Daphnia pulex: one gene and its partner. Each later gene encodes a partner of the first gene's protein in a complex. Links are inferred from orthologs where the notes say so. Each region holds a gene or a part of one and is shown in the gene's direction. Other genes may lie near its edges.

The links. Proteins that work in one complex are often made in the same cells at the same time.
Region 2: the proteins of replication protein A 32 kDa subunit-like (region 1) and uracil-DNA glycosylase-like are in contact, whole or in part, in an NMR structure (PDB 1DPU), measured with the Homo sapiens proteins. The link is inferred for Daphnia pulex from reciprocal best matches to the Homo sapiens genes RPA2 and UNG. Residues at the interface, in NP_002937.1 of Homo sapiens: Ser250, Asn251, Glu252, Gly253, His254, Ile255, Tyr256, Ser257, Thr258, Val259, Asp260, Asp261, Thr267; in NP_550433.1 of Homo sapiens: Arg73, Ile74, Asn77, Lys78, Ala81, Leu82, Arg84, Leu85, Arg88.

The regions. Positions count from the first base shown.
Region 1 is NC_060017.1:2,573,682-2,577,058, forward strand, and holds replication protein A 32 kDa subunit-like, read left to right. Parts: upstream 1-1,207; 5' UTR 1,208-1,350; coding exon 1,351-1,369; intron 1,370-1,428; coding exon 1,429-1,514; intron 1,515-1,571; coding exon 1,572-1,673; intron 1,674-1,736; coding exon 1,737-1,850; intron 1,851-1,909; coding exon 1,910-2,101; intron 2,102-2,158; coding exon 2,159-2,311; intron 2,312-2,372; coding exon 2,373-2,452; intron 2,453-2,515; coding exon 2,516-2,597; 3' UTR 2,598-2,775; downstream 2,776-3,377. Other genes in the region: CWF19-like protein 2, read right to left, coding at 1-709, 796-879; sodium-coupled monocarboxylate transporter 1-like, read right to left, coding at 2,933-3,065, 3,144-3,311, 3,372-3,377. UniProt on the Homo sapiens protein: As part of the heterotrimeric replication protein A complex (RPA/RP-A), binds and stabilizes single-stranded DNA intermediates that form during DNA replication or upon DNA stress.
Region 2 is NC_060023.1:11,049,267-11,053,069, reverse strand, and holds uracil-DNA glycosylase-like, read left to right. Parts: upstream 1-1,363; 5' UTR 1,364-1,536; coding exon 1,537-1,665; intron 1,666-1,727; coding exon 1,728-1,916; intron 1,917-1,989; coding exon 1,990-2,140; intron 2,141-2,213; coding exon 2,214-2,256; intron 2,257-2,318; coding exon 2,319-2,407; intron 2,408-2,504; coding exon 2,505-2,683; intron 2,684-2,750; coding exon 2,751-2,900; 3' UTR 2,901-3,220; downstream 3,221-3,803. Other genes in the region: BTB/POZ domain-containing protein KCTD5-like, read left to right, coding at 1-106, 174-293, 353-382; ragulator complex protein LAMTOR2-like, read right to left, coding at 586-732, 792-918, 986-1,021, 1,101-1,168; lactosylceramide 4-alpha-galactosyltransferase-like, read right to left, coding at 3,260-3,590, 3,646-3,803. UniProt on the Homo sapiens protein: Uracil-DNA glycosylase that hydrolyzes the N-glycosidic bond between uracil and deoxyribose in single- and double-stranded DNA (ssDNA and dsDNA) to release a free uracil residue and form an abasic (apurinic/apyrimidinic; AP) site.

The DNA.
Region 1 (3,377 bases):
TTTTCTTCCATCCTGGTTGCGAAGAATAAAACCGTTTGTTTGTATGGGAAACAACTTCGTCACTCTCACTTGGTCTTCTGAATCTTTCTTGAACGGTTGATGATTTTCTAATGTTTTCTGGATGTTTTCGCTCTCGGGATCTTGATCTATCTCTGCTACTAACATGTGTGGAATCTCTATCTGAGGTTCTTTGTTTTTTTCTTTCTGAAGGATTGGAAGATACTGCATGACTATTAGGACTATCATGCCTTTTTGAGGATTCTGCTTCAGTTCTTTCAGGTGGCAAACCAGTTCCTCCATTTTTCCAGTATGGATTTAATTCTCTACTTGACTGCCCTGGTTTTTCCATCATGGTCTTTCTTGCAATTTCTTCATTCTTGTTCAGGGATGTTCGTTTGGGAGGCATGCTACTGTTACTGAAAATTGGAAGCAAAGAAGGCACACTCATCCATTCATCTCTCTCAAGAGGAGCAGATGAAGCGGGTTCTGTTGTTTCAGATGTTTTCTCTACCCATTCATCAGAATCAGAGGAATTGTCTTTTTTCTTGCTTTTTTTATGTTTCTTATCCTTTTTATGTTTTTTTTCTTTTTTACTTTTTTTGGATTTACCGGACAATTGAGCATCCAACTCAGGCAGCATCCATTTGTCTTCACCATTTAATTTGGCCAATTCTTTTTTAGCTTTCCTTTTCTCATAATCTCTTTCTGCCTAAAACAAAAGAAAAATAAACTAAACCAAATGTATACCAGTAAAATACTATTAAATCAAATTGGTGAAATGTGATGGTGTATTACCTTCGCAAGAATTGCCTCTCTCGCTTCTCGTTTCATTTGTCTCATTTCATCTAAGTCTTTAGAATTTTCAAAATTTATCGACATTTCAAAGGATTATTTCTATGGGCTAAAACTTGAAAAAGAAAACTAGAAAAGCAACACAAATTATTTTCAATCAAATTTACAAAAACGAAAACATTCGTTTTGACGTCTGTCGTTTTGAAGCGAAAACAAGCATTGCCAATTTGTTCAACCAGAGTCATCCGGTTCAACTTTTAATTTTTTTTACAAGCATATAATAAATTTTAAAAACGTTAATAAAAACGTTAATTAAAATTATCAATTGTAGTAAAAATTGTAAAAAGATGCCATTTAATTCAATATTGATATCAAATGTTTCCAACTCGTCAACATCGGATTGCGAAAACTAGTTTTCCCGCCATCTATAAAGAAAAGAAAACAGTGGATAGACGCAGTACAAGTTACAACGTCTGCATACCTGATTGAAGTGATTCACGTGCATTACGTTTTGTTTTGAGAACGACAAATTTAAACGAATAATTGAATTAATCTATAATGTGGGATCAATCAGCAAGTAATAAATACAATTTTGTCAAGCTTTGTGTTATTAACTTTACATTCTTTCCATTACAGGCGATTTTGGAAATGGAACAATGGCCGGTGGTTTCTTTAATGCTGGAACTCCAGGAGGCACAGTTAATACTCCTGGAGAAAAGAAGGTTTGAAGACATTTTTAATATCTCATAGACATTTTCTCATGTTTGTTTCATTCACAGGGTGGAGCTCAACGGGCTCATAATATCATTCCAGTTAATATCAAAGATATATTGGATGAAATTGATGAAAAACTAAAGATAGAAGATACTGAAGCCCACATGGTATCCATATTTATCTTCACTTTGAGTTACATTTACTTATGATTTACAACTTATCTCTTTTAGGTTACATTTGTAGGTACTGTCGAACAGATTGAATCCAAACAGACTAATGTTTCGTACACTGTAAGGGATGATACAGGTTCTATTGAAGTTGTTCAGTGGATTGAGGGTGAAGGGGTATGTATTGTGTTCTGCATATGTTTTCACTCATTATTTATTCCAATTTATTTTTGCAGAATGTCCAATCACCTTTTCAAGTTGTGGAAGGGAATTTTTGTCGAGTTGTTGGATCTATTAGACAGACACAGGATCGCCGTCACGTAATGGCATTTCGTGTTGCGAAACTAACAACTGCTAACGAAATAACAACCCACTTGCTAGAGACGCAATGGGTTCGTATGAAGTTGAGACAGATGAAGAGAAAAATGGTAATGAACAACTCAAATGAATGCTTGAACAAAGGTAAATGATTTTTATTTATAAAGGGAGAAGGAACAGGACAATCAATGAATAACTCAGTGATGGGTGGTGGAATGACTGGGCCTTTAGCTTCTTCATCCTCAGCTACTTCCAATGTGGCAAACGGTATCATGTCAGGACTGTCATCTTTTCAATCTATGGTTTATACCATCATTCAGGTAGATTCATTTGTCATCTATGTGATCAAATTCAAACAATAAAAAACCATGTTATTTTTAGGCAACAACAGCGGAAACCGGCATGGAAAAGTCGCAGATCTACAATTCTGTCAGAGGAAGAATGATCCCACGTGATGTAGAGTAAGTGTATTGATGTGGAAGACAAACATGTTTTCATTGATTTTAATTTAAATTTTTTATTAGTGCTGCTTTGGAATTCCTTTGTTCTGAGGGACATATTTACTCTACGGTGGACGAAGACCATTTCAAATCGACCGATAGCTAAACAAGATTAAGATGTACTGTACCTTCATTCTCATTAAATATCTACTAGAATAGATACATTATACTCAAAACTGTGTCGACTCAGTCTGCGGAATTTATCCTGAAGCTATTAATTCCAACTGTTTTGAAATGGTTCAGTTCTGTCTGTCTTTCAACATAAAAGCTTAAATCGTCTAAAATCCATCGGATCTACATCGGATAATTCATTTTCAGTATATTCAAATATCAGGTACATAATGACCACGGATAACTGGATCATGTCTAATTGCTATGGCAAGTGTTTGTGATGCATTCGAAGTAAAATGTTATTTACATCATAGAATGAAGACGTAAATGTTAGGTATCAGGCAAATTTACTTCTATTATTGGTGATAATCTTCTTGGAAGTTCCCACAGTAATATCCCGTTTCGTTGCCTACGAATAACCGTAGCGCCATCGGTTTCATCACTTGGTTGGAGTGCCGCTTTACTATGATAACATTATTGATTCAAAAATTAAAGCTAAACTCGCTAACATGTAGAAAATGTTTTGCTAAAGTTATCTTACTTTAATAGACGGTTATGATTTACTCGGTAAAGTAACTTGGGATTTAGTTTTGCAGGATCTTGCGGCTCAGACAAAATGCTTCCAATGGTACCAATGATTAAGACGATCACCACGCTCAATACCGTGTACCACAAATACGAAATCCGTAAGAGCACAAATGCATCCGCTCTAGAATGGAATGAAATATCGCGTTAAGTTTCAAATTATTATCTAGAAACGGACTCATACTTTTGA
Region 2 (3,803 bases), on another chromosome or scaffold:
ACCACAGAAGGAAAGTAGGAAGCAAGTTTACCGTGTATTACAGTGTCATGAGGATGAATTAACTCAAATGGTTTCAACTATGTCTGATGGATGGAAATTTGAGCAGGTGTGTACACACAAGACAATCTTATTAGTTACTACAGACTATTTATTCTAATCTTTTTTTTATATAGCTAATAAATGTTGGGTCACAGTACTCTTATGGGAATGAAGACCATTCAGAATTCCTGTGTGTTGTATCAAGAGAGTGTGACAAGAGAGAAAGAGAAACAGAGCCTACTGATAGAGCCAAAGTAAGTATCTGCAATTTACTATTGATGGAAGCATTTAAAAATGTTGTTTCTTTATTTAGGTGCTTCAGCAGAAAGGGTTAAGAATGTAATAAGCTATGGGATTTTTGTACCAGGAACCAAATACTGAACTAAATTTATGCAGAGAACCAGCCTTGTGGGATTTTATCCACGTTGCAGCCATTTTGACACTTCTTGTTCACAAGTGTTGCTTTTTATTCACAAGTGCAATACAACTCTGCTTCACAGCTTCATTAAATTTTAGGAGATCCAAATTTGTATTATAAAAAAATGTTCATGATGCTGCTACTTGACGAAGAGGAGAATCAAGATAGTCTGCCAATGCCTTTGCTTTAGCATGAAGCATTCCAAAACACACATTTTCTTTAGCATAGAGACATAGAAGTAAATTAGCAACTTGGGCAATCACCACTTTCCCATCCTTTAAAGGCATTGGCAAAATTAATATTTGTGTTTACTAAACTTTAAATTGAATAATACCATGCAATCAAGAAGAACACATTCCAGGACATCTTCATTGAAGGCAACTTTCCCATTTTTAGCATATGCTGACCAAATGTTGCTAGCTATCGCTGCTGTCACTCGTGCATCCTTGTCCCCATAACCACTTGAAAGCCACAAAATTGTTTAAACACTATAAACAAATGTAAAACATTTTAACACATTTTGCTCACCTGTAAGCTAGCAACGCCCCCTCCGTATTTAAAAGCCTGCATAACAAATTAAGATAATAAATAAATAAAAATAACTAACAATCGTTAACTATTTTAAGGTATCACGCCATATTACAAAGTGCTTAAGATTCCGCCAGTGTTTGCTTGAGACAAGACTTGAGTAAGAGCTTTTGGTTTTAACATTCTTTAGATTTGTTGGTATCTTCTGTTTTGACACAAGCTGAGTCAGGGCTGAGTACAGCTGTTCAGTGTTCACTACTCCTCTTAGTCTCTTACTAAAAAAAAAAAAAACAAATGAATGCGGATGTTTCCTACATAACCAGGCCAGGCTGACAATCTCTTCTTCAGGCAGCGGCAGCGGCAGCGCCCCTTCCGTTGACCAGGGAATTTTTTCTCACTCAATCTTGTCAAATTCTTCTGCTGTAGGTGGCCTTAATGTATTCATTTCAGATTGGTCCAAAGGTGAATTTCGCGCCCGATTATTTTGACTTTGGTGTTTAATTACAATCATGATTACAATGAACTAAAGTTGCTTCTTGAAGTCAGAAATCATGCCGCCTCAAAAACCTTTGACTCATTTTTTTAAACCTCTTCAAAGTGGAGGTGTGAAGCGTACATTCTCAGAACTTGTGTCTGGCAATAAGACAGCTGAAGCCAAGAATGTTCAAATTGAAAACAAAGTAGGTTTTTTTGTTCTGTGTATACATGCCTGGTATTTTTTGTAAAGTCTATTCATTTTTAGCCTGTTGGAGAAAAATCTGGTGAGAAGACTGAAGTAGTTACTCCTGAAAAAAAAGAAAGAATGGGCACTAACCACTTGTTAGCGAAAATAAAATTGCAAGCGAAGAATACTTGTGCCTTACACCATAGTATTGGTCATTCATGGTTTCAAGCAATTGAGCCAGAGTTTAAGAAACCCTACTTTGGTGAAGTATGTACATGTTTCTTTTTTTTTAACTTTGAATAACAATTATTTTCATTTACCTACATTATTTTGTTTTTAGCTTAGTAAATTTCTGGGTTCTGAAAGATCAAAGTCCACCATTTTCCCTCCAGAACATCTTGTGTGGTCTTGGACCCATTTCTGTGATATTCAAAATATCAAAGTTGTTATTATTGGTCAAGATCCATATCACGGTCCTGGTCAAGCTCATGGTATAGTAAAAAATAATTACTTTTATGGCTTTTAAGATAAAGAATTGACATTACATTTTTGTTTCATAAAAAGGTTTGTGTTTCAGTGTTTTGAAAGGAGTTCCTCCTCCCCCAAGGTAATATTTAAAATTTTTACTTTAAAAACTACTGTGTCTAATTTTTGCAAAACTATTTGAAGTTTGGTAAACATCTTTAAAGAGCTGGCTTCAGATATTGATGGTTTTAATATTCCTAAACATGGTAATCTCACTGGATGGGCCAAACAAGGTAGACATTTAAACAAAATCAATCACAGTTTAACGTTTGTCTTAATCTTCAAATAAGAGTCACGTAAAATTGTTATATTGATATTTCACATATTTAGGTGTGCTCCTTCTTAACGCTGGCTTAACGGTCCGATCGGGCGCAGCAAATTCGCACAAAGACAAAGGCTGGGAAACTCTGACGGATGCCGTGATCCAGTGGATTAGCAGTAACTGCCAAGGTGTTGTCTTCCTTCTTTGGGGTGCATATGCCCAGAAGAAAGCTTTAGTAGTAGACAAGGTAACCAATTCATTTGTTTACGACTTCATGCTTAATTAATGTTTTTTTTTCTTTTCTTTTTTTGTAGAAAAAACACCACTTGCTGAATGCCCCTCATCCTTCTCCACTATCTGCTCATCGCGGATTCTTAGGATGTAAACATTTTTCAAAATGTAATGAACTTTTGCTCAAGCAAAACAAAACACCAGTTGACTGGTCTAAACTCCCCATTGAGTGAACAGTCAAACCTCAGGTTATAACAGTTTTTACATTCACTCTTGCCTCAAATGTTTTCAACCATGATATTCATGTTTCAAAACGCGATTCACAATGCATCTTAAACCAAGAGCAATACTAATTTTACATTTAAAAAAAAAACAATTTGTTAATTGCTGATGGATCTTCAGTAATTTTCTATTGCCAACAACAATTATGGATATGCTGATACTAGAAAGTTTTGCTGGCATTTTTTAGTCGCAGCGCAATGCATTTATGTATTTAAGAAAAACTTGTATTCTTTGAAGAATGAACCTTGAAAATAAGAATTAGGAAACCAAATGTTGAGAGACGGTTCTACCGCTGTAGAAATACGAACTATTAAAACACATTAGGAGCCATCGCAAAAATCGAAGGACATTGGGAACGAGCAAGTTTGGTGTATACTTGTTCGGAAGTTTTTGAAACTGCTTGGCCAGCGCTCTTTTGGTTCCATACGTGAATTCCAATTGTGTCATTATCCCACGTAATATCTTGTTCCAAAAAATATCTCAACCATTTAGGCCATTCGATTGGATAAAATGTTTTTGGAGGAAGAATCTCAAAACCGTAGCAGCTATCAGAATTCATTTCGGCAATGTTTTCTGTCAAACACCATTTTGTCATTACGCGAGTCAGGAGCAATGGGCCATTGTGACCCCAAATATCCTTTCTGAAGTAAAGAAAACAGTTAAGTCATCTAGTTTGGGAAATTTTCGTGTACACACCTGTATGTTTCTCGGAACTCCTCCACTGCCATGCGGATAACAGGATGTAGGTAATCAACGTGAAGTGCTCCAGCAGCCAAATTTTTCTCGTTTTCCGCCACGATGAAGTTTCGGTAATGTGTCACTGGTTGAACCATTATTATATCCAAATCAAAGTA